Linked DNA regions of Cricetulus griseus. The protein of the gene in region 4 purifies or fractionates together with the protein of the main gene of each other region. This does not show direct contact. Links are inferred from orthologs where the notes say so. Each region holds a gene or a part of one and is shown on either strand. Other genes may lie near its edges. The genes, in order: Dpf2, Phf10, Pbrm1, Bcl7a and Arid2.

Region 1 (3,514 bases), on a different chromosome or scaffold from region 4:
TACACCACACAGATGTATACAACACACATATGCACAATAATCATGAGTAAATAAATAATCCAAGTAAGGTGCCCACTTCCTAAGCAGGGCCATGGTCTATTACATGGCAAGAAGCTTGCTTATCACCTGCTATTCCCAGGCTCTGTGTTAGCTCTTGCACATACTAAATTAAATGAGGTATGATAACATCCTTCAAAGAACTCACTGTGTTAGGGAAACAGGTAAATAGCTATATTCCAGTGCTGGCTGAACCAAGATATCTTGGTTCCTGTAGAACAGAAGTTAGTGGCTGACTTTGACTTGGCCCCAGATGTCGTAGGCTCATCTTCAGCCCTTCTGAGTTTGCTTTATTCTGATTCTTTCCAGACACAGACCAGACCCTGAAGAAAGAGGGGCTTATATCTCAGGATGGCAGCAGTTTAGAGGCTCTACTGCGTACTGACCCTCTGGAGAAACGAGGTGCTCCAGATCCCCGTGTTGATGATGACAGCCTGGGCGAGTTTCCTGTCACCAACAGTCGAGCACGGAAGGTATGTTATCCCTATGGCTAGAGGACTTTAATAAGGACCAGCCTCTTCCTTATGGATGGGAAGGGTGCACCCAGTTAGCAGAACTGACCAAGATTGGTGTGTGAGCCTTAGCACAAAAAAGAAAAACAGCCAAAACAGAAGCTGAGGCTGCCCTGCAATCCTGTGGCTCTACTGGCCACCGGCTCTGCTGCTGTCCCATCTTTCACACTCCTTGCTGTCTTCTCAGTACAGGCTAACTCATTCGTTCTCTTTCACACAAGGATTTTGTTAGAAACTTTAGGTGCCTGGTGTTACATAGGTGAAGCACACCTGGTTTACACCTATCAACTGGAAAGTTAATGCTAAGTTTAAAGATGAGAAGAGCTACAGATAAGCCAGGTACTGTGCTAAGTGTTTTTCCATATGCTTCCTCCTGTACAACCTTATGAGGTAGGTCCTGTGGTTCCCATTTCACTGACAGGGAGGCAGAAGCAAAGTAGTTAGAACTTCCCTCAAGGTCACACAAGTAAGCAGCAAAACTCATTTAAACTAGGACATGAGTTTTGGAAGCAGAACGAGCAGGACTGGGCATGGCTGCCTGGGATACTAGGGAAAGCTTTATGGAAACAGAGAGATGGGGGAAAGCAACTTGAAGAAGCTCAGAGGAAAGGAAGCAGAAATGGGATTGTAGGGTGAAGAATGATTATAGGTAGGGATAACCCCCAGAGAAGCTTCTGGGTAATTCCATGTGGCTAATTCTACATCGTGAGGGAGCTTTTGGATGTGCTTGACTTGTGCTCATTCAAATCTTCTGGTCCACTCAGCGGATCCTTGAACCTGATGACTTCCTAGATGATCTTGATGATGAAGACTATGAAGAAGATACTCCAAAACGTCGGGGAAAGGGGAAATCCAAGGTAAGGAGCCAGTATGCTTCCTGAAGGATGTAGCAGGCTGGTCCAGGAAGGCCAGGCTTTATTTCTTGTAGTTGCCTTGCTCTTCTGGCATAGACACCTTAGTAATGGCATCATCTTTTTGCTGTTCTTGGCAGAGTAAGGGTGTGAGCAGTGCCCGGAAGAAACTGGATGCTTCCATCCTGGAGGACCGTGATAAGCCCTATGCCTGTGACAGTGAGTGCCCCCTAAGGGGTGGGTAGTTCTTGTCTTGGACCCCGCTCCTGCTCTGGATGTTAGAGTAAGGGGATCATGTTCTTGCACTGAGTGGTAAAAATAAGCCTGGGTTCTTATTCTACCTGCCCACCTCTGAGAAGCCCTGGCCTTTGCTTCATAGTGGGTGGGACCTGCATGCTGTGGGAGAGATTTCTGTGGTTCCTGGGGTGGGAGGATGAGAGAACTCAACAGAGGCAGGGTTGGCCTCATCGTGGGCAGCACCCAGACCTGCTGACCCATTAAGGCAGGGCACAGGGGGCCAGCCCTGAGGGTCAGTGTCTGTCCTCTTTCCCTTTGCTTTGGCTCACCCTACTTCCGTGCCTCCAGCCTGTAGCACCGCTGCTGGGGTTCTCTCTCACTTGCTCTTGTTTTCCTGCTGTTGCTGCCCTGTCTCAAATGTACCAAGGCCTTCTTCTCATGACTTTTCTTTCTGTCTTTCAGATAGTTTCAAACAAAAGCATACCTCGAAAGCGCCCCAGAGAGGTAGCTCTCTCAACTTTTCAGACTTGTGGTTTTCCTGTCCCTTTTCCCTCTTCCCTTGTTCCTCCTGCCTTTCTCATTTCCTGTGATGCTAGCTTTGGAATCTCTGCAATGGTATGGTGGTAGTGCTGTGGAGCCCCAATTGTGCTCCACTCTCAGAGTCCTAGCAGCTGTCTTTACCGTTGCTTGTCTCCCATAGTCTTACTTGGCCTAGTATGTGGGATAGCTTCAAAGTCTTAACAGGAACCCATTATGAATAGATTCATCTGATGCTCCCCAAAAAAGACATCAGGTGGTCAGCTAATATTCCCACTATCATGCCACCACCCACTACCATCCTCCTCACAATTCCTTCCTGCTGGCCCCCTTGCCCCTCTTGGTGTCATCACTCAAGATGCCATCTTTCCTTGCTTGTTGGCAGGGGCTGGGCAGGACTCTAGTATGGGAATGTACCTCAAATTCTTTGGGAACAGTTATTCTGGCTGCTCAGTTGATAGGTGTTCCCTAAGAAACCCACCCTTTGCCCTTTGCCTATTCAATTGGGATTGGCTGCGTGGTATACATGGGGTGGAATGAGCATGCCACATTTACATAGCAGAAAAAGTCTGACGTCTCCGTATTACCTTTCCCCCTTTGCCATAAGGCAAGACCATAGAACTTTCCTGACCTGGAACTCCCAGACAGTTGCTATTCCCAGGGCTAGTTGTTGCATCCTGGGCTGAGTCCTTCCAAAAGCCAATGTAGAAAAATGTTAGTAGGTGTGGGGTTGGGTTTTAGAGAGGGGAGAGAATCCTAGAAACTGAAGAGATCCAGGGCCTGATGTTCTTGGATAAGGGACAGGGGCCATCACTAAGGTTTGTCCCAGATTAGAAATGCTGGGGACATAAGTATTTTCCATGATGCTTTACAGCTTGTCAGACTGGGTGAGTAGCACCTTCGTGTCCTAACATTTCTCTGCAATCTTCTTCCACCCAGTTTGTGGAAAACGCTACAAGAATCGACCTGGCCTCAGTTACCACTATGCCCATTCCCACCTGGCTGAGGAGGAGGGAGAGGACAAAGAAGACTCTCAACCACCTACTCCTGTTTCCCAGAGGTCTGAGGAGCAGAAATGTAAGCTGAGGTGTCAGGATGAGCAAACAGGAGAGGAGCCAGCCTGGTTATAAAAACCCTCTTTGGGGAGGAGCTTGATTCTGCCCCAACTTAATGTACCAAACTATGTTGAGTCCAAATGAGAGCCCTTACCTGTTGGGGGTGGGGAGTGGGCTGGGAGGGGAGGCGAGGGGAGCAGGAGGAGGGAGGGGAGGAAGAACTTTGGTTGGAATGTAAAATGAAATTTAAAAAAATACTTAAAAT
Region 2 (4,206 bases), on a different chromosome or scaffold from region 4:
CTCATCCGCGCACACACACCTTCCCCTTTCATAGAAAACAGGATCTCTTATTGGCCCAAGACTTGTTGCTTAGCCTGTTTCTACTTTTTCACCTCACCAGCATTGGATTACAAGTGTGCCACCATCATGCCTAATTTTTTTTTTTTTTTTTTTAATGTTCTGGGGATTGGACACAGGTCCTTGTGTTCACTTTACTACCTCTCCATCCTTTAAATTCTATTTTAAGGAAGTTATTCTCATGCAGTCCTTTTCTATTATAGCTACCCCAATTTAATTTTTTTTTTTTGGCCCTTTTTACTACTTATAGCTCTCTCCATTGATGAAATTTCATTTTATGGCCCACTGGTATAGTCAATTCTCTAGAAACATCCCAGATTTCATGGCTTAGTCCAAGAGCTAATATCCTGTCCAAATACCATGGCTCCCATTTCCAGGGCCCCCGGATCCTGTGTCCTGCAGGTGCTCAGGGGCTCTGCCAGTCATATGGTCTTGGGGACCCTCCCCCTCCACATTCTCTCGGACTGTCTGGGTCCTGCTTGGCTAAAGCTGCTCTGACTCTTCGCACGTGGTCCAGAGGGCCACCTTCCCAAGGTCGCAGCAGAGGCAGAAGCGAGACAAAGGCGCTGAGGGTGCCTTGGGGACCCCGGGATGTGCAGAGTGAAGATGGAACGGTGGGGTGAAGAGGGGCAAGGACACAGGGTGGGGAAAGAACACTGCAGGAAAGATGAGGGAGGGAGTGGGGAGACCTGGGGGAGAAGGGAAGGGCCCGGCGTGTATGGGGACCCCCGGCTGAGGGGTGGGTCTGGGGACATGGGGTGTGTGTGAGTGTTGGGGAGGGGGGAGGGAGGACACCGTGTGGCGGGGGCTCCTTTCGAAGGGGAGGAGCCGCGGATCCAGGTGGGGTAGGGGAAGGCCTCCGGCGGGCTGGGGACCCCCGGCTGACGCGCGGCGGAGGAGGGGAGGGGGCGGGCGGCGGGCGGGGCGGGCGGAGCCGCGGCTGACGACGCGGAGGGCCGGGCGGGCTGGGGGCGCAGGGAAGGGGCGGCGGCGCGGCGGCGGCGGCGGCGAGCTCGCCAGGCGGCCGGGAAGCCGGGCGAGGCTGGGGCCGGGTCGTCGGCGGCGGGCGGTCGGGCTGCGGGGCTCAGGCCGGGCGCGGCGCGGCGCTGCAAGCCGGCGGGTCCCGGCAGAGGCCGGCGGAGCGGCGCAGCTGCGGCGGCTGACGTGAGCGGCGTGCGGGCGAGCGGACGGGCGGGCGAGCGGGCGGCGGCGCGCTGCGGCTATGGCGGTGGCGCTGGCGGGCCGCGGGGCGCGCGGCGGCAGGGGCGGCCCCGGGCGGGCGGGCGGAGGGGCGGGGCCGGGCGCGGGCGGCCGGCGGCGGGCGGCGGCGGCGCAGGCGGCGGCGGCGCGGCGGCGGCGGCGGCGGGCGCGGGGCGCTGGGGCTGATGGCAGCGGCCGGGCCCGGGGCGGCGCTGTCCCCGCGGCGGTGCGACAGCGACCCGGCCTCCCCCGGAGCGCAGTCCCCGAAGGTGAGCGAGCAGACCGCGCTGCCCAACGGCGGCGGCGAAGCCGGGCCGGGCCTGGGCGGGGAGCGGAGCACCGCGGGGAGCGGGCGGCAGGTCGGGGAGCAACAAGTGCGGCCGACGAGGGTCGCGGACCGAGGCTCGCAGGCTCCCCCGCAGCTGGGGAGCTCGGAAAAGTTGCGGCCTTCGGGGATCGCAGTCAGGACGCCGCTCGGCGGGACCTGCCCCGGGGACCCCAGCCGGCCGCGTGCCCCGGTCCTCCTGCTCGGTGCTCCTCTCGCCGGTAGCCCGGCCGGCCTCAGTCTCGGACCGCGCGGGGCTCGCCCCGAGGACCGGGCAGCCGAGAGGGCCCGTAACGAAAGCAGACCTCGGGCTTCCCACCTCTTGCTCCTAAACTTCTTGGTGTCAACTTCCGTTTCTGTTTCTTTTCAAGTGAATTATTGTTTTTAACTGAAGGAAGTTGTAGACATCAAAAAAAAAAAAAAAAGAAGGTCGTTAAAATGTTTACACAGAAAATAGGTACTTTCAGTGTTCAAAATGAACTGTCCAAAGTATGGAATCCGAGTACTATAAAAAGGATGAATTTTAAGGAAAATAGTCTTTTCCCAACTTATCCCCGATTGTTAGTGTTACAGGGAGTTTTCAGTCTGTGTAATTAGCTTCATTTTTGATGAGTGAAAAGGAGAATATGTATGTTTTTCTATTTGGAAAATAATTTTAGTAAGTTCCTAGGTGCTAGAGTCGAAATGTAAAATCCTACCCCTTATCTTAACGTTAATAGGTATCAAACAGTTACATGCTAGTCCCTGCTGTTAGTGAAGTCTGTTTATTCCCTTACTTAATCCTTGCATCAGCCACCTGACTTCAGAGGCAGAGGGGCTTTAACACAGGGCTGGTGGAGGGAGGGAGGGCAGTTCCCTGTGAGACTCCAGGCAGCCCACTGTGTGCCTCTTCATTCTCTTTAGAAGGTTTTTTATTCTAATACATAGTAAGAGTGGTAGTGTTAGGAGCTACATTACCTTGATTTACAAAAAATATGACTTTTAAGTGGCTAGACTTGCAGTCGTCTGTCCCATTTACATTGCTCAAAATGTAATCTGGAGCCTGAGCCTAAAACACACAAGGATGATAGCATGTGTGGAATATTTGTTCTGGGCTGGCTCCTCTTTGAGCATCAGCCAGAGACAGAGGCATGCTATCATTAAAGAGATTTTTTTTTTCTTTAAAAAAATGACTCAAGTAATATGTTAATAAAGTGTTTTAAAAGCATTTGATTACTCGTTTCATTAATGGAATAGCTGAACAACATATATATCCTGGATGAGCTGAGTTTCTTTTCTGCAGTGTAACAAAGAAAATGTGCTTAGATTTGCCAACCTGTGTTCAGTCCTTGTCTCCACAGTAGCTAATTAGAATTACACTCTTGTGGGCCAGTTGTAAGTTGGAGGATCCTATAACATTTATTGATTTTTTTTTTCCCAGTTCAAATAGGAAGTCCTGCTTTAATTTTAGAGTGGCTTCTACCCACCCAGTTGCTAAGAAAGGGAAGGTAGAATATATTTTAAAAATCATAGCTGAAATTTTTATTTTGTTTGAATTGAAGGTCCATTTTTAGTTTTATTCTGCTTCTTGCTTGTAACAAATTCTTTGCCCTGACAATTATTGTAGGAAATTAGTTTTCTAAATACATTAGTTAGAAATATGCTTTCTCTTGTGGAGTCTTAGGCAAACTGCAAAGATACACAATCATTCTTTGTTGTTGTGTTTTTCTTTAAATCATTCTTTTATTTTCTATTATTATTTTTCAATCATTTAAATGTACAGGATGATAATGAAGATAACTCAAATGATGGGACCCATCCATCTAAAAGGAGGCGAATGGGCTCAGGGGACAGCTCGAGAAGCTGCGAGACTTCAAGTCAGGATCTCAGGTACTACTACTTGAAGGGTCAGTAGTAGCTTTTGTAGACCATTTGGCCTCTTCTTCCCTAGGCATCAGGAGCAGTTATTAAAAATTATATTTATGGGCTGGAGAGATGGTTCAGCAGTTAAGAGTGCTGGATGCCCTTTCAGAGGACCTGAGTTTGGTTACTGGTACCTACATGGCTGCTCACATTGGCCTGTGAGCTCTAGAGGGTCTGATGTCCCATTCTGCCCTCCACAGATGTGTGTACACACACATTCACACAAAGCAAAAAATAAACAAAAACACATTCTAAGAAGAAAAAAAAAGCCATATAATATAATACCTAAGTAGGTCTTGTTCCTGAGCTGTTAAGAAGTTATGGTAAATTAGGTATGTAAGACTCACTGTTGTAGCACTTTCAAGTGTACAGTTAAGTGGTGTTAATTGCATTCACAGTGTTGTGCAACTATCACTATCATCCCTTTCCAAAACTTCAGTAACTCAAACGGCATAACCCTCCAGTACCTTCTATCCCTCCTGCCTCTAGCTGCTGGCCACTACAATTCTGCTCCCTGCCCCTGAGTGTGAACCCTACAGTACTTGCCCTGTGGTATCTGACTTATCCGTTAGCATAATGTCTACAGGGTTCATCTGTGATGGAGTTCATGTCAAAATTTCCTTCAGTCTGAACAATATCCCACTTTGTTTATTCATCTGTAGGCTGGGGTAATTAATGTGAACATTGGCATTCCTAATCCCTGCTTTTAATACCTTGGTACA
Region 3 (4,187 bases), on a different chromosome or scaffold from region 4:
GCCTAGACACATGGGGGAGGGCCTAGGCCCTGCTCCTAATGATATGACAGACTTTGAAGACCCCCCTCTTGGAAGGGGTTGGGATTGGGAGGGGGGAAGTGAAGGGAGGGAGAGGGAACTGGGATTGACATGTAAAAGAAGCTTGTTTCTATAAAACAAAAAAAAAATTAAAAAAGAAGACTTGTGACTAAGTATACTTTTCATAAGAGAAATAAACCAAATGGAAAAGAAAGCTATGCAGCTCAACTGCTTCAAAGAAGGAAGTATAGGCAAACCATGGGAAATGGCAGAAACCACGAAGCCTTAGTTACTCACAGGATCCACAGTTGGAAGATTAGACAGTCTTCTCCTTTTCCTGCTTGGGCCTGGTGTAGGCACAGAATGGTGCCCATCGTCAAAGTCTCCACTGACACTGCTGGAAGGGGAGGTAGCTCTTCTTCTCTTGGAACCCATGGAATCCAACTTCTTCTACAAGAAACAATTAGCCAAGTGCTTATGTTTAATCTTCAACAATGTCAACAAACTCTCAGCTAGGTATATACCATGAAACTTCTGGTTCATTTAAGATAGTTTATTCCAGAGGGATTTAACTAGCTCTACATTCTTTTGCTAAGTCCTGGACTTCAATGCAATTAGCCTTTTAATTATCAGAGTGCTACATTATCAAACTCTGATAGGACAAATTTGGCGTAAGTATACACATTTATATGTCAATAATTCTAAATTACTCAACCACTTTTTGCCCCAGATTTCCTGGAATGGGGCTTCCTTTTTTTTTATTTTCCTTTTTTTATTTTTGATGTATATGTGTGTTATGTATCTGTGTATCACATGTGTGCCTGATGCCAGAGGCCATCAGATGTGCAACTGGTTGTGAGCTGCCAAGAAGGTGCTGGGAAATTAACCTAGATCCTCAGGAAGAGCAGCCAGCATTCTTAACCACTGAGCCATCTCTCCAGTCCCCTGTATTTCTTATAATTATACCCATTACCTAAGTGGGCCATAGTGTGGAAAACAAAACTAAGAAGCAGTACCTAAGGCCAGTCAAACGGGGTGATGCAAAAGGGGGTGAAGCAGTAAACTTTCCAGCACTGTACAAGTATCCTAGAAATGAATTCTCCACTTAAAGCAGAATTCATAAAAAATACCCCTGTGATGGGGAGGGAGAGGGAACTGGGTATGACATGTAAAACAATCTTGTTTCTAATTTAAATTTAAAAATGGAGGAAAAAAATACCCCTGTGAATGTAATTTTTGCTATATCTGGAGAGAACTAGCAATTTGTGCTCTGTCCCAATGTACACTATACTCACAGACTGTGAAAACAGTTTTAAGCTTCACTAGATGATCTAGAAGAACATGTTATATATATGGGCTCTTAGCTACTGTGTGGACATTTGGAAAGCACATAAACATTTGCTCTTGGCTTTAGGCTGACAATGGTTTTTGTTAGCTGGCTTTTGGTATTTCTTACTGTTCTTTGCAGTACTAGGGACTTAATGTAGGCCTCACACATGATAAGAAAGCCATCTCTAATCCAGAAAAAATGAGAAATGGGTGTGTGTGCACTCACCATAGGTTAATATCAGATGTCTTCCTTTAACACTGTCCATTTTTCTTTGAAAAAGTGCTGTTCATTAAACTTGGAGAATGCCTGATCAGTGAGTGCCTGAGACCTACCTGTCTCTGCCCCTCCAGTGAGGGGCTATGGACACTACCACCACACATGACTTTTAGGTATGTGCTAGGGATCTAAATGCAGGTCCTCACGTTTGTACTTTACCCACTAAGATATCTCCCTAGCCCTCATAAGACGCTATTCTTTGCTGGGCATGGTGGTGCATGCCTTTAATCCCAGCACTTGAGAAGCAAGGTAGAAGCCGACAGATCTCTGTGAGCTCAAGGCCAGCCTTGGATATTGAGTTGTAGGCCAGCTAGGGCTACATAGTGTCTCAAATAAAAAAAGAAAAGAAACTATTCTTAACATAACTTTACAATATACACATTTGGCTATAATGTAAGAAATGCAACCACTGGAATAACTTACTACAGTTAAAGGGTATAGACCCAGGAAGTCCTACAATGGTTATATACTTTAACAGCAGTAGCAAATGGTGCACTGTAATTACAAAGAACTTTTCTAAAGCTAAAAGTTACAGCAGACCCAGTTTCACTCAACATTTGATTTCAGGAAATTCAGACACTAGCAGCTAAACAAAAAAGAATAGTAGAGCACTGGGTGCCAGTACTACAGAGAGAAAAATTGGGGACCTCCAGGAAACAGAAAGTAAGAACAAAACAAAACAAAAAACTCCCTTAAGCAATTAAAAAACAAAAGGGTCTCCTATCTGTTGCTTTGAGCTAAAGTCCACATACTGTTTAAAACAATCTACAGTGATCATGTTCCATCCTGTAGGCTTTGGTTTGTTACCAAGAATATTAGTTTGAAATTGACTAAAAGTGGTTAAAAGTTTTTACAAAGTTGGGCCCCAAATACCCAGGTTCTGTTGTTGTTTACTTTATAAAAGACTGACACCTGGCCACAACTCCACAAGTTAATGAAATTAAGCACTAATCCTTGGAAACACTGATAAACACAGGAGGGATTCAGATAGGAAGAATTACAAAACTTCAGAAGGTTGGAAGGGAGAGGGAGAGAATGACAGAAAGAGAAAAGGGTGAAGATGATCAGTAATTTACCAGCTTTACCAGAGCACAACCAGCGCCTCGAAAAGCCAATCTCCTCATTATGTCTGAAGGCCAAATGAAGCCAGTGAGAGAAGGTAGGGTTTTATTAAGTGCTTATTCAGTTAGTTTATTCAGAACTGAAAGAGAAGAACAAGGCAGAGAAAGGGGAAATAAGAGTATAAATGAGTACAAACAGACAGAAAACGTAACATTCGAATAGAGTTGCTAAAGAAAAAGAAACAGACATATCAGTTCCCAGGTGCACCTGACAAGTTTCTTCCATTTAAAAACCAAATGCTTTCACATGCTTAGAAATGTCTCACTGAGTTTCACCTTTACTCACATGAAATGACTGTCAATTCCAGGAATGAAGCATGCCTGCCCAAGTGCCCCCTAGTCAATAAGAGCAGAGTTCAATCACAGAGCTGGGATGGAGAGTGAACACATGTGGGAGGCTCACATGTGACCCCAAGTGTTGGCAAGCTGGAATAGACCAAGAATGGCTCATGAGAGCAAACTCTACAAATTCTTCCTCCCTCCCCCCAAGAGTCAGAGAAAAACATTTCTTTCCAAAAGTTCTATCTGCACTGGAAAGACACAACATTTAAGTTTATCAGGGCTTTACAAAGTCTTCAATTACTTTAGTTCAAAATTACTGCTTTTTATAATGCACTGGAAAGCAAATGACAAAAAATGTAAATTATTAATACTTAGTATGTTGTAGTTTTAGATGATATAATAGCCAAAATCCTTAAATCATTAATGCACTTTCAAAAGACAAGAAAAAGATGCATGGGAAGGATGGTTTTCAAATTTTCTTATTCAAAGTATACATTTCTTATTCAAAGTATACATGCAGTGTGGAAGAAATAATGGATCTGCATTCAAGAGTCCCAGACCTTCCACCTCTAACAGTTTGATACTATCCAAATCACAACTTCTCAGATCTATTTCTTCATCTTTAAATAAAAACAAGGACCGGGTAAATAGCTAAGTCGGAAGAGCGGTTGCTTAGCAGGTGGGAGGCCCAATGTTCAATCCCCAGCACCACATGGAATTGGGCATGGTGGAGTACACATGTAATACAAGCACTGAGGAAGCAGAAGCATAAGAAGTTCAAGGTCATCTCAAAACAAAACAAACAAAAAAAGAAAACAGTAAAGCGCACCTACACCCTTTGACAGTGAAGAAAAGACATAGATTAAATACTTTGAAATTTCTTGAGTTTCCTAGGCACAAGAACTGAGTCCTCTTTATTTTTGTAGCCCCATCCTATAAAAGTGCTGGAAACAAAATAAATGTACTGAAAATGTGTGAGATGTTTAAAGCAAAAGTTTGTGTTATTTAAAAACAGTCTCTAAGCATCACTTCATTATTTATTTATAAGCAGAAAATAAAAAATTCTAGAGTTTGCTTCTAGATGTTAGGATGGCCTTATTTACAGTAAAAAATCCAAGAGTCTTACAATGCCTGTGGACGCTTCCAGTGAACAATAAATA
Region 4 (4,290 bases):
GAAAGGCAGCTTACACCGGCCCCTTTCTACCCTCCAGGAGGGTGACAGACAGAAGTGACTCACGCCCTGATATCAGTTCTTTCTTTGCACCAGGACTGAGGCAGGGGAGGGGGGGCACCTCAGCCTTCCCTTGAGAGTCCCACAGGAGAGGGGGCACTGTGTTGTTTTCCTCTGTGTTTTGGCCTGCAGCTGTTTCTGCCATTTTTAAATGGCTCCAGTTGGGCACTGGGCGCCTTGCTCAGCAGGGGAGCTCCCGGCACCCAGGACTTGGATCTCAACTTTGGAAAGCCTCCCCTTCTCACGGTTGTGAAAATTCTTTGTCCCACTGGAGCCAAACCCAGCCCACGGCAGGCATCCGGCCATCCGAAGACAGCCCTTTCCATAGGAGGCCCGGGAGCACGTGGACTTTATTGATTTTTCTCCTTGCCTTTTTTTTGTTGGGTTTCACTCTGAAAGGACAGCTAACTTGTGACACCACCAGACCTGAGACAGGCCCCCGAGTAGTGTTTTTTTTTTTTTTTTAAAGGCAATAACAACAGCGGCGTTACTCAAGAAATGACACCCCCCAAAGAAACAGCCTGCAGCGGGGCCTGGCCAGTTCCTATAAAGGACGGGACCAGCCCACGGCCGCTGACACTTAGGGGCACCCTCGCGGCTGCTCGTCTCCCTCTCGGACCCTGATGAAGCCGTGAGAAAAAAAAAAAAAAAAAGACATAATAAAGTTGAAATTGGGGAGCAGGGAGTTTTCAACAAGTCTGACCCAACCTGGAGGTGGACTACTGGCGCCTCCGGCCTGGCCTCTAGGGCCTCCTGGGAGTCAGATCCCGACGAGGCCCGTGAAAATGTTCCATCCTGCTAATTATAACGAGGCCACGCCGGGCACGATCTAATTTGAGCTTGAAAAACACGCACGGCCCACACCGAATCTCGCGGTCCCCTCCTCCTCCCCCAGTGCAGAGAACAAAAACAACGGTCGCTCGCTCTCTCCGCAAAACAAACACCAGCTCCAGCTCGGAGAAGGCAGACACGGCCCAGGACTTGGCTTCTGGCAGCAAACATCGCGTCCCCCGAGCTCCGGGTGCCGCGCGGAGCGGGTGGGAGCCGCGGGTGCCCCGCTCGCCAGCCGCGCCACCGCCTTCCCAGCGCTCGCCCCCATCTTCCTTCCTCGCCCGGAGCCCTCGCTCCAGGCTGCCCAAAGCGCTAAATTTAAACGGCTCGCGCTCTGCAAACTCCGCAGACTCGAGGGCGCCGAGGCCCGGGAGGCGGGGAGCTGCGGGCGGGTCGGGTCGGGGCGTGGGGTGTGTGTGTGTATGTGTGTGTGTGTGTGTGTGTGTGTTTTGGGGGGACACCGGCGCCGCGCCGCCCCGGGAGGAGACGGCGGCCCGCTCCGCGCCGCACAATGGAGCTCGCGCTCTGCCCGCCGCCACCGCCGGCATCACGGCCCCGGCGCGCGGGAAGCCGCTTTCATGTGACTTGCACAAAAAAACGAAATGGCTTCTGGGGCCGGCCGCGAACCCCCCTCTCCCGAGCTCCGAGCTCCGGGTTGCAGCCGCCGTCGCCTTCGCCGCCGCTGCCGCTGTCGCCGCCGCCGCCGCCGCCGCCGCCAGGTGGGCGACCCCGCGCCAAGCACACCTGGGCAGCGGACGCAGCCCCCGCGGGGCGCAGGTGACCCGGGCCGCGCGTCCTCGCCAACTCCGGGCCCGGGGCCGCTGCGCCCCGCGGTTCCGTGAGCTGGGTCCGGGCTAGCCAGCGGCCGTGGCGCGGTGCAGCGAGCCGGGGCGAGCGAGAGAGCGAGCAGGCGCCTCGGCTTACCATTTGCGCACTTTCTCGATAGCCGCCATGACCCTCTTGATATCATCTTTGGCCCGGCTCCTGGTCTCGGCTCGAACCGACCTGCCCGACATGGTTCTGGCGGGGAGGGAGAGAGAGAGGAGAGAGAGAGAGGCTGGGGGAGCGCGCCCGCCGGGTCCTGCTCGCCACACTCGCCCGCTCTCTCACTCGCGCACAGACACACACTCACACACATACGCGCACACACAAAGCCTGGTGCCGCCGCGCGCCCGGGGCCCAGTGCGCAAGCGCCGGGCGGCAGCTGCACAGAGCGAGGGGGAGCGGCGCGGCCGCCACTAGTGCGGCCTCCGGGCGCCGCCGCCCTCCCCGGGGAGCCTCGGGGACCTCACCCAGGGAAACGATCAGGGATGACCGCGACCTCCCAGCACGCGGGACTGGCCCGCGCGCCGACTCCCCCGGAGGCCGCGGATGTGGTGGGAACCCCTCCCCCCAAGACACACACCCTGGGGATGGCAGACAGGAGGCCGTGGGTGCCCTGGCCTTGGGTTGGTGGCCTCGGGTGCGATCGTGCAAGTTACTTGTCGGGCGCTTGACTTCTCAGAGTTGGAGGCGGTGGTTCCGGACTCGTGATCTTGGAAAGAGTTGAGGTGCCGGTTTCTGGCCAGCTAGCTGCCTTGTTGAAATGTGCGAGCTAGGACGTCTGCCTCACCATGATCAAACTAGGGTCGCAGTTTAAGGTGCCAGAGGCCGGTGGCTGTAGGCATTGTCGCAAGGCTTCCTTTTCCTTGGAGATAAATTGTCCCAGTCGGGGATAAAGCTCGCTGGCGTAGGTCACAGGACCACAAATTAATCTTAAACGGCTCCTGGTGGAAGCGCAGTTTACTGACCGGGAGCAGCTGGTAAACTGGACTGGTCCAACTCAGAAAGACTTTTGAGGGGCTGTTCCCGATCCCAGGACAGAACTAGGTGGCAGAATCTACTGCGGTCAATTAGGATAGGGACAGATAGGTAGGCAGCTGAGGCTAAACCGACTGGACCAGAGCAAATGCTTGCCCAGGTGGATGCTGGGAAAAGAGATGACCTAATGTGAGCAAACCAGTGCCTGGAGAAGAACTAGCCCAACTCAAGTCATTTCACAGGTGGGGAAACTGAGGAAAGGAGTTATTCCAGGTTGCAGCCATGAACTTCTTCTGTGACGGCATTGATTGTGTTACCCCCTAAAGTTTGGGGACGGTGCTGGGGTCTGGTAGAGAGAGCTAGCGGAGAATGAGAACAAAATGTATGGGCTTTCCCCCCAAGCACATCATTTTACCATTTCAATCACATGGCCCTAATGTGAAAAATAAAAATAAGAACAGTAGTCCGGCATGGTGGCCTACTCCTTTAATCCCAGCACTTGGGAGGCAGAAGCTGGCAGATCTCCGTGAGTTCAAGGCCAGCCTGGCTTATGTAAGGAATTCCAGGCTAGCCAGGACTAAATAGTGAGACCCTGTCTCTAAATAAATAAATAAATAAATAAATAAATAAATAAATAAAATCAAACACCCAGGTTGTGGTGGTGCACCCCTTTAATCCCAGCACTCAAGGCACAGGCAGGTGGGCCTCTGTGAGTTTGAGGCCATCTGGGCCTATAGAGTGAGATCTAGAATAGAGAAACCCTGTCTTGAAAAGCAAAATAAACAAAAAACTAAAACAATTATGTTAGAGAACCATTCTGAGTGCTGGATTGGAAAATATGCCATAAATCAGAAGTCTCATAATTTTGACCCTCAGTTCAATTCCCTGCTTGGGCCTGAGGGAATTAGTTTTTGTTTAGTGCTAGACAAGTGCTGTTCCATAGTTCCCACATAGAATGTGTGTGTGTACATGTGTATGTACATGTATGTATGTATGTATATACTTTAAAAATAAGACATAAACAAATCCACACATCAGGTCAGCAAGACAGCTTAGTAAATGCACTTGTAGCCAGGTGATGGTGGCACACACTTTTAACCCCAGCATTTGGGAGGCAGATGAAGGCAGATCTCTGTGAGTTTGAGGCCAGCCTAGTCTACAGAAGGAGTTCCAGGACATGCTCCAAAGCATGTTACACAGAGAAATCCTGTCTCAAACAAACTATATACATATATACATACATACATTTGCAGTCAAGCCTGAAGACAAGAGTTCAATTCCCAGAACCCACATTGTGGAAAGAGAGAACTGACTCCTGAAAGTTGTTCTGATTGCCACATGTTTACACACACACACACAAAAAAAAACCAAACAAACAAAAAAAAACCAAAAACTGAAATGTAAAAAAAAAATTAAATACAAATACCAATTGATGAATGGATGTCTTTATACACAGTGGGATTATGTAGCCATGAATAATAAAAGGAATACCCACACTGCTAAACATGCTTGAAAGTATGCTAATGGGAAGGTATGGGTATACAAGGTAGACGATTGTATGACCCCACTTACATGAGCTATCTAGACTAGGCAGGGGCTGAG
Region 5 (2,275 bases), on a different chromosome or scaffold from region 4:
AAATATCATACCTGCACATAATGCATATATAACACAGGAGAAAACCTGTATAAAATTCCATGTATTTAAACCAATTTACAAATACAAAAATTTTGTACAAGCTTTGAGCTTGCACATGACAAACGCTTACAGTGGATACATGTTAGGGGAAACAAAAAAGAAAAGAAAAAAAAAAAAGAAAAAACCCTTCAAATAGTTTGTCTTCTACAAAAATGACATGAGATATATTATTCCATACTCTTTCAGCCAGCAAAATGAGTCCTACAAGGTGTATAATACAAAAAAACCCAAAAGGGGGAAAAAATCCAAGAAAACCAAAAAAGAAAAGAAAAAAAAAATCACAGTTCCACAAAACTGTTTTGACTTTACAGCATCAGTACCTTTGCAGAAGTATTTACACAAATTTAAAGAACATTCATCCACTGCGTAGAATATATCACAATTACTTACAGTTGACAGGAAAGTCTAGAAAACGTCAGAGCCTACCAATAATGCTTCTAGGACACCACAGAATGTATTTCCAGTGGCTGCAGTGGTATGAAGGGTGTTCATTCTATTCACAAATATTTACAACATCTATTCAGACTGGTAAATTTTTATGATAATAAATAAGTGAAAATATATTGGCTCAAGTAAGAAAACCAAGCTACTGACTCTAACAAAACACACAATCCACAGCTAGATATCGGTGGCCCCTCTGAAGCTGGGGGTAGGTGTGCTCAAACTTTGTCTTTATTCAAACCAGCTTAAATGGTTTTGTAAATATAAAAATGTGCTCCTTTTTGGATATAGATAAAAATATTTAATGCTTCTATTTCATCTGCTCACGTAGGTTTTACACTATTCCATGTATATTCCAATGTGGATGGTACTGAATTCTGATCACACCAGTCTCCACCAGGATTGGCCAGACCCGAGACATCCTGCAGATAAGCTGGTTGACAATCCCACAGTAGTTTGTTGTTTTTTGTTTTTTTGTTTTTTTTTTTTTCCTTTTTAGATTTTTTTTTTTTAACAGAAAAGAAAGGGATTCGTTCAGAGATCAGAATACAAAGCTTCCTCTCGGCATCATGGGACGACACAAAATAATTCATTCTATGGTCTCTGCTCCATTAAGACTTGGTGCTTTCTTCAGTAACAGTATGTGAAATGTATCTGACTTTGAGTCCCCGCTGTGTAAGTGGTATAGGATTCACTACAGCATTTCCGAGTCTTTTTCTTGTTCTTTACTCTGAACTGTAAAATTAAGTTCATAAAGGCATTTGGCAAGGGTGGAGGAAGCTTCCATGTTACTAATGGCTAGTACTGATAAGTTGTTTTCATGTCTCTTTAACAATCTAGAAAACAAAACAAAATACAAAACAAAAACAGATTGTTAGTCTCCAGGATCATAGTTAAGATTCCTTATCACAGATTCTATAACTAAAATAGAAACATCATATAGTCCCATATGCAGCTAGTGTCCCATATGCAGCTTTGTAGAAAGAGGAGCAGCCAGCTAGCCATCAGTTAGTGCAATTTCCTGGTGAGTAAACAAAGGCCAGTTTCTGGGCCCCTGAAATCAACTGTCTTTTTTGCAGCATGGCAGGGTTTGTATTCACAGAAAGTTACACAGCCTATTTCTGTATCTTCATTCAGGGTTTTAGAAATTTCACAAGTCAGAAAATTGCTGGCAAGGAACAAAAACATTTATGAAATTGAAAATTTCTATCACAAAGGTCACAGTATTGATGTGGCTATGAATACAAAGAGACAGTGGGAGCATCACTTGGGAAAACAGCCTTGGGCTGTGTACTGAGTCAGCTGGGAATGGAAGACTAAACAGATGGGAGGAGACTAAGGCAAGCACACTAACTCAATGCTATATGATGTTCACTGTACAGTTATTTCAAGTTGGGCTTCACTGTGAAAGCTTTCACTTTAAACATCTGAGAAATAAGTCACACAGCAATAAATGGCCCAAGAACTTCACTATTTTCATTAAAATAATCCTGGGGAAGAGAAAGCAGAAAAGGGGCTGGAGAGATGACTCAGTGGTTAAGAGCCTGCTCCTGCCAAGGACCCGTGCTTGGTTCCAGCATCCATACCAGGTGGCTCAGGTTTCTGTAACTGCAGTACTATGGTCTGACACCTTCTGACTGCTGTGGGCAGTGCACACATGTGGTGTACATCCTCAGATGTAGGAAAAATGCAGAAAATAAAATAAGTATATCATAGAAAAAGAACAAAACCAGTAGGAAAAAAGGGTTAAGACATTCCTAAAATTGTAATAATG

Evidence for each region.
Region 1: the proteins of Bcl7a (region 4) and Dpf2 purify together in Homo sapiens (affinity purification with mass spectrometry; 3 studies listed by BioGRID and IntAct, counting the BioPlex papers as one, with this or other methods). This does not show direct contact. The link is inferred for Cricetulus griseus from reciprocal best matches to the Homo sapiens genes BCL7A and DPF2.
Region 2: the proteins of Bcl7a (region 4) and Phf10 purify together in Homo sapiens (affinity purification with mass spectrometry; 3 studies listed by BioGRID and IntAct, counting the BioPlex papers as one, with this or other methods). This does not show direct contact. The link is inferred for Cricetulus griseus from reciprocal best matches to the Homo sapiens genes BCL7A and PHF10.
Region 3: the proteins of Bcl7a (region 4) and Pbrm1 purify together in Homo sapiens (affinity purification with mass spectrometry; 3 studies listed by BioGRID and IntAct, counting the BioPlex papers as one, with this or other methods). This does not show direct contact. The link is inferred for Cricetulus griseus from reciprocal best matches to the Homo sapiens genes BCL7A and PBRM1.
Region 5: the proteins of Bcl7a (region 4) and Arid2 purify together in Homo sapiens (affinity purification with mass spectrometry; 3 studies listed by BioGRID and IntAct, counting the BioPlex papers as one, with this or other methods). This does not show direct contact. The link is inferred for Cricetulus griseus from reciprocal best matches to the Homo sapiens genes BCL7A and ARID2.

What each region holds. Positions count from the first base shown.
Region 1 is NC_048596.1:53,438,275-53,441,788, forward strand, and holds part of Dpf2 (zinc finger protein ubi-d4), read left to right. Parts: intron 1-366; coding exon 367-530; intron 531-1,333; coding exon 1,334-1,426; intron 1,427-1,560; coding exon 1,561-1,639; intron 1,640-3,133; coding exon 3,134-3,271; intron 3,272-3,514. UniProt on the Homo sapiens protein: Plays an active role in transcriptional regulation by binding modified histones H3 and H4. Is a negative regulator of myeloid differentiation of hematopoietic progenitor cells. Might also have a role in the development and maturation of lymphoid cells.
Region 2 is NC_048595.1:294,005,791-294,009,996, reverse strand, and holds the start of Phf10 (PHD finger protein 10), read left to right. Parts: upstream 1-1,395; 5' UTR 1,396-1,442; coding exon 1,443-1,526; intron 1,527-3,344; coding exon 3,345-3,451; intron 3,452-4,206. UniProt on the Homo sapiens protein: Involved in transcription activity regulation by chromatin remodeling. Belongs to the neural progenitors-specific chromatin remodeling complex (npBAF complex) and is required for the proliferation of neural progenitors.
Region 3 is NW_023276807.1:188,682,581-188,686,767, forward strand, and holds the start of Pbrm1 (protein polybromo-1), read right to left. Parts: upstream 2,805-4,187; 5' UTR 1,577-2,804; coding exon 1,574-1,576; intron 469-1,573; coding exon 316-468; intron 1-315. UniProt on the Homo sapiens protein: Involved in transcriptional activation and repression of select genes by chromatin remodeling (alteration of DNA-nucleosome topology). Required for the stability of the SWI/SNF chromatin remodeling complex SWI/SNF-B (PBAF).
Region 4 is NC_048597.1:103,112,552-103,116,841, reverse strand, and holds the start of Bcl7a (B-cell CLL/lymphoma 7 protein family member A), read right to left. Parts: upstream 2,808-4,290; 5' UTR 2,294-2,807; intron 2,267-2,293; exon of another isoform or gene 2,181-2,266; intron 2,067-2,180; exon of another isoform or gene 2,029-2,066; intron 2,023-2,028; exon of another isoform or gene 1,909-2,022; 5' UTR 1,905-1,908; coding exon 1,813-1,904; intron 1-1,812.
Region 5 is NC_048595.1:392,839,596-392,841,870, reverse strand, and holds part of Arid2 (AT-rich interactive domain-containing protein 2), read right to left. Parts: intron 1,338-2,275; coding exon 1,196-1,337; 3' UTR 1-1,195. UniProt on the Homo sapiens protein: Involved in transcriptional activation and repression of select genes by chromatin remodeling (alteration of DNA-nucleosome topology). Required for the stability of the SWI/SNF chromatin remodeling complex SWI/SNF-B (PBAF).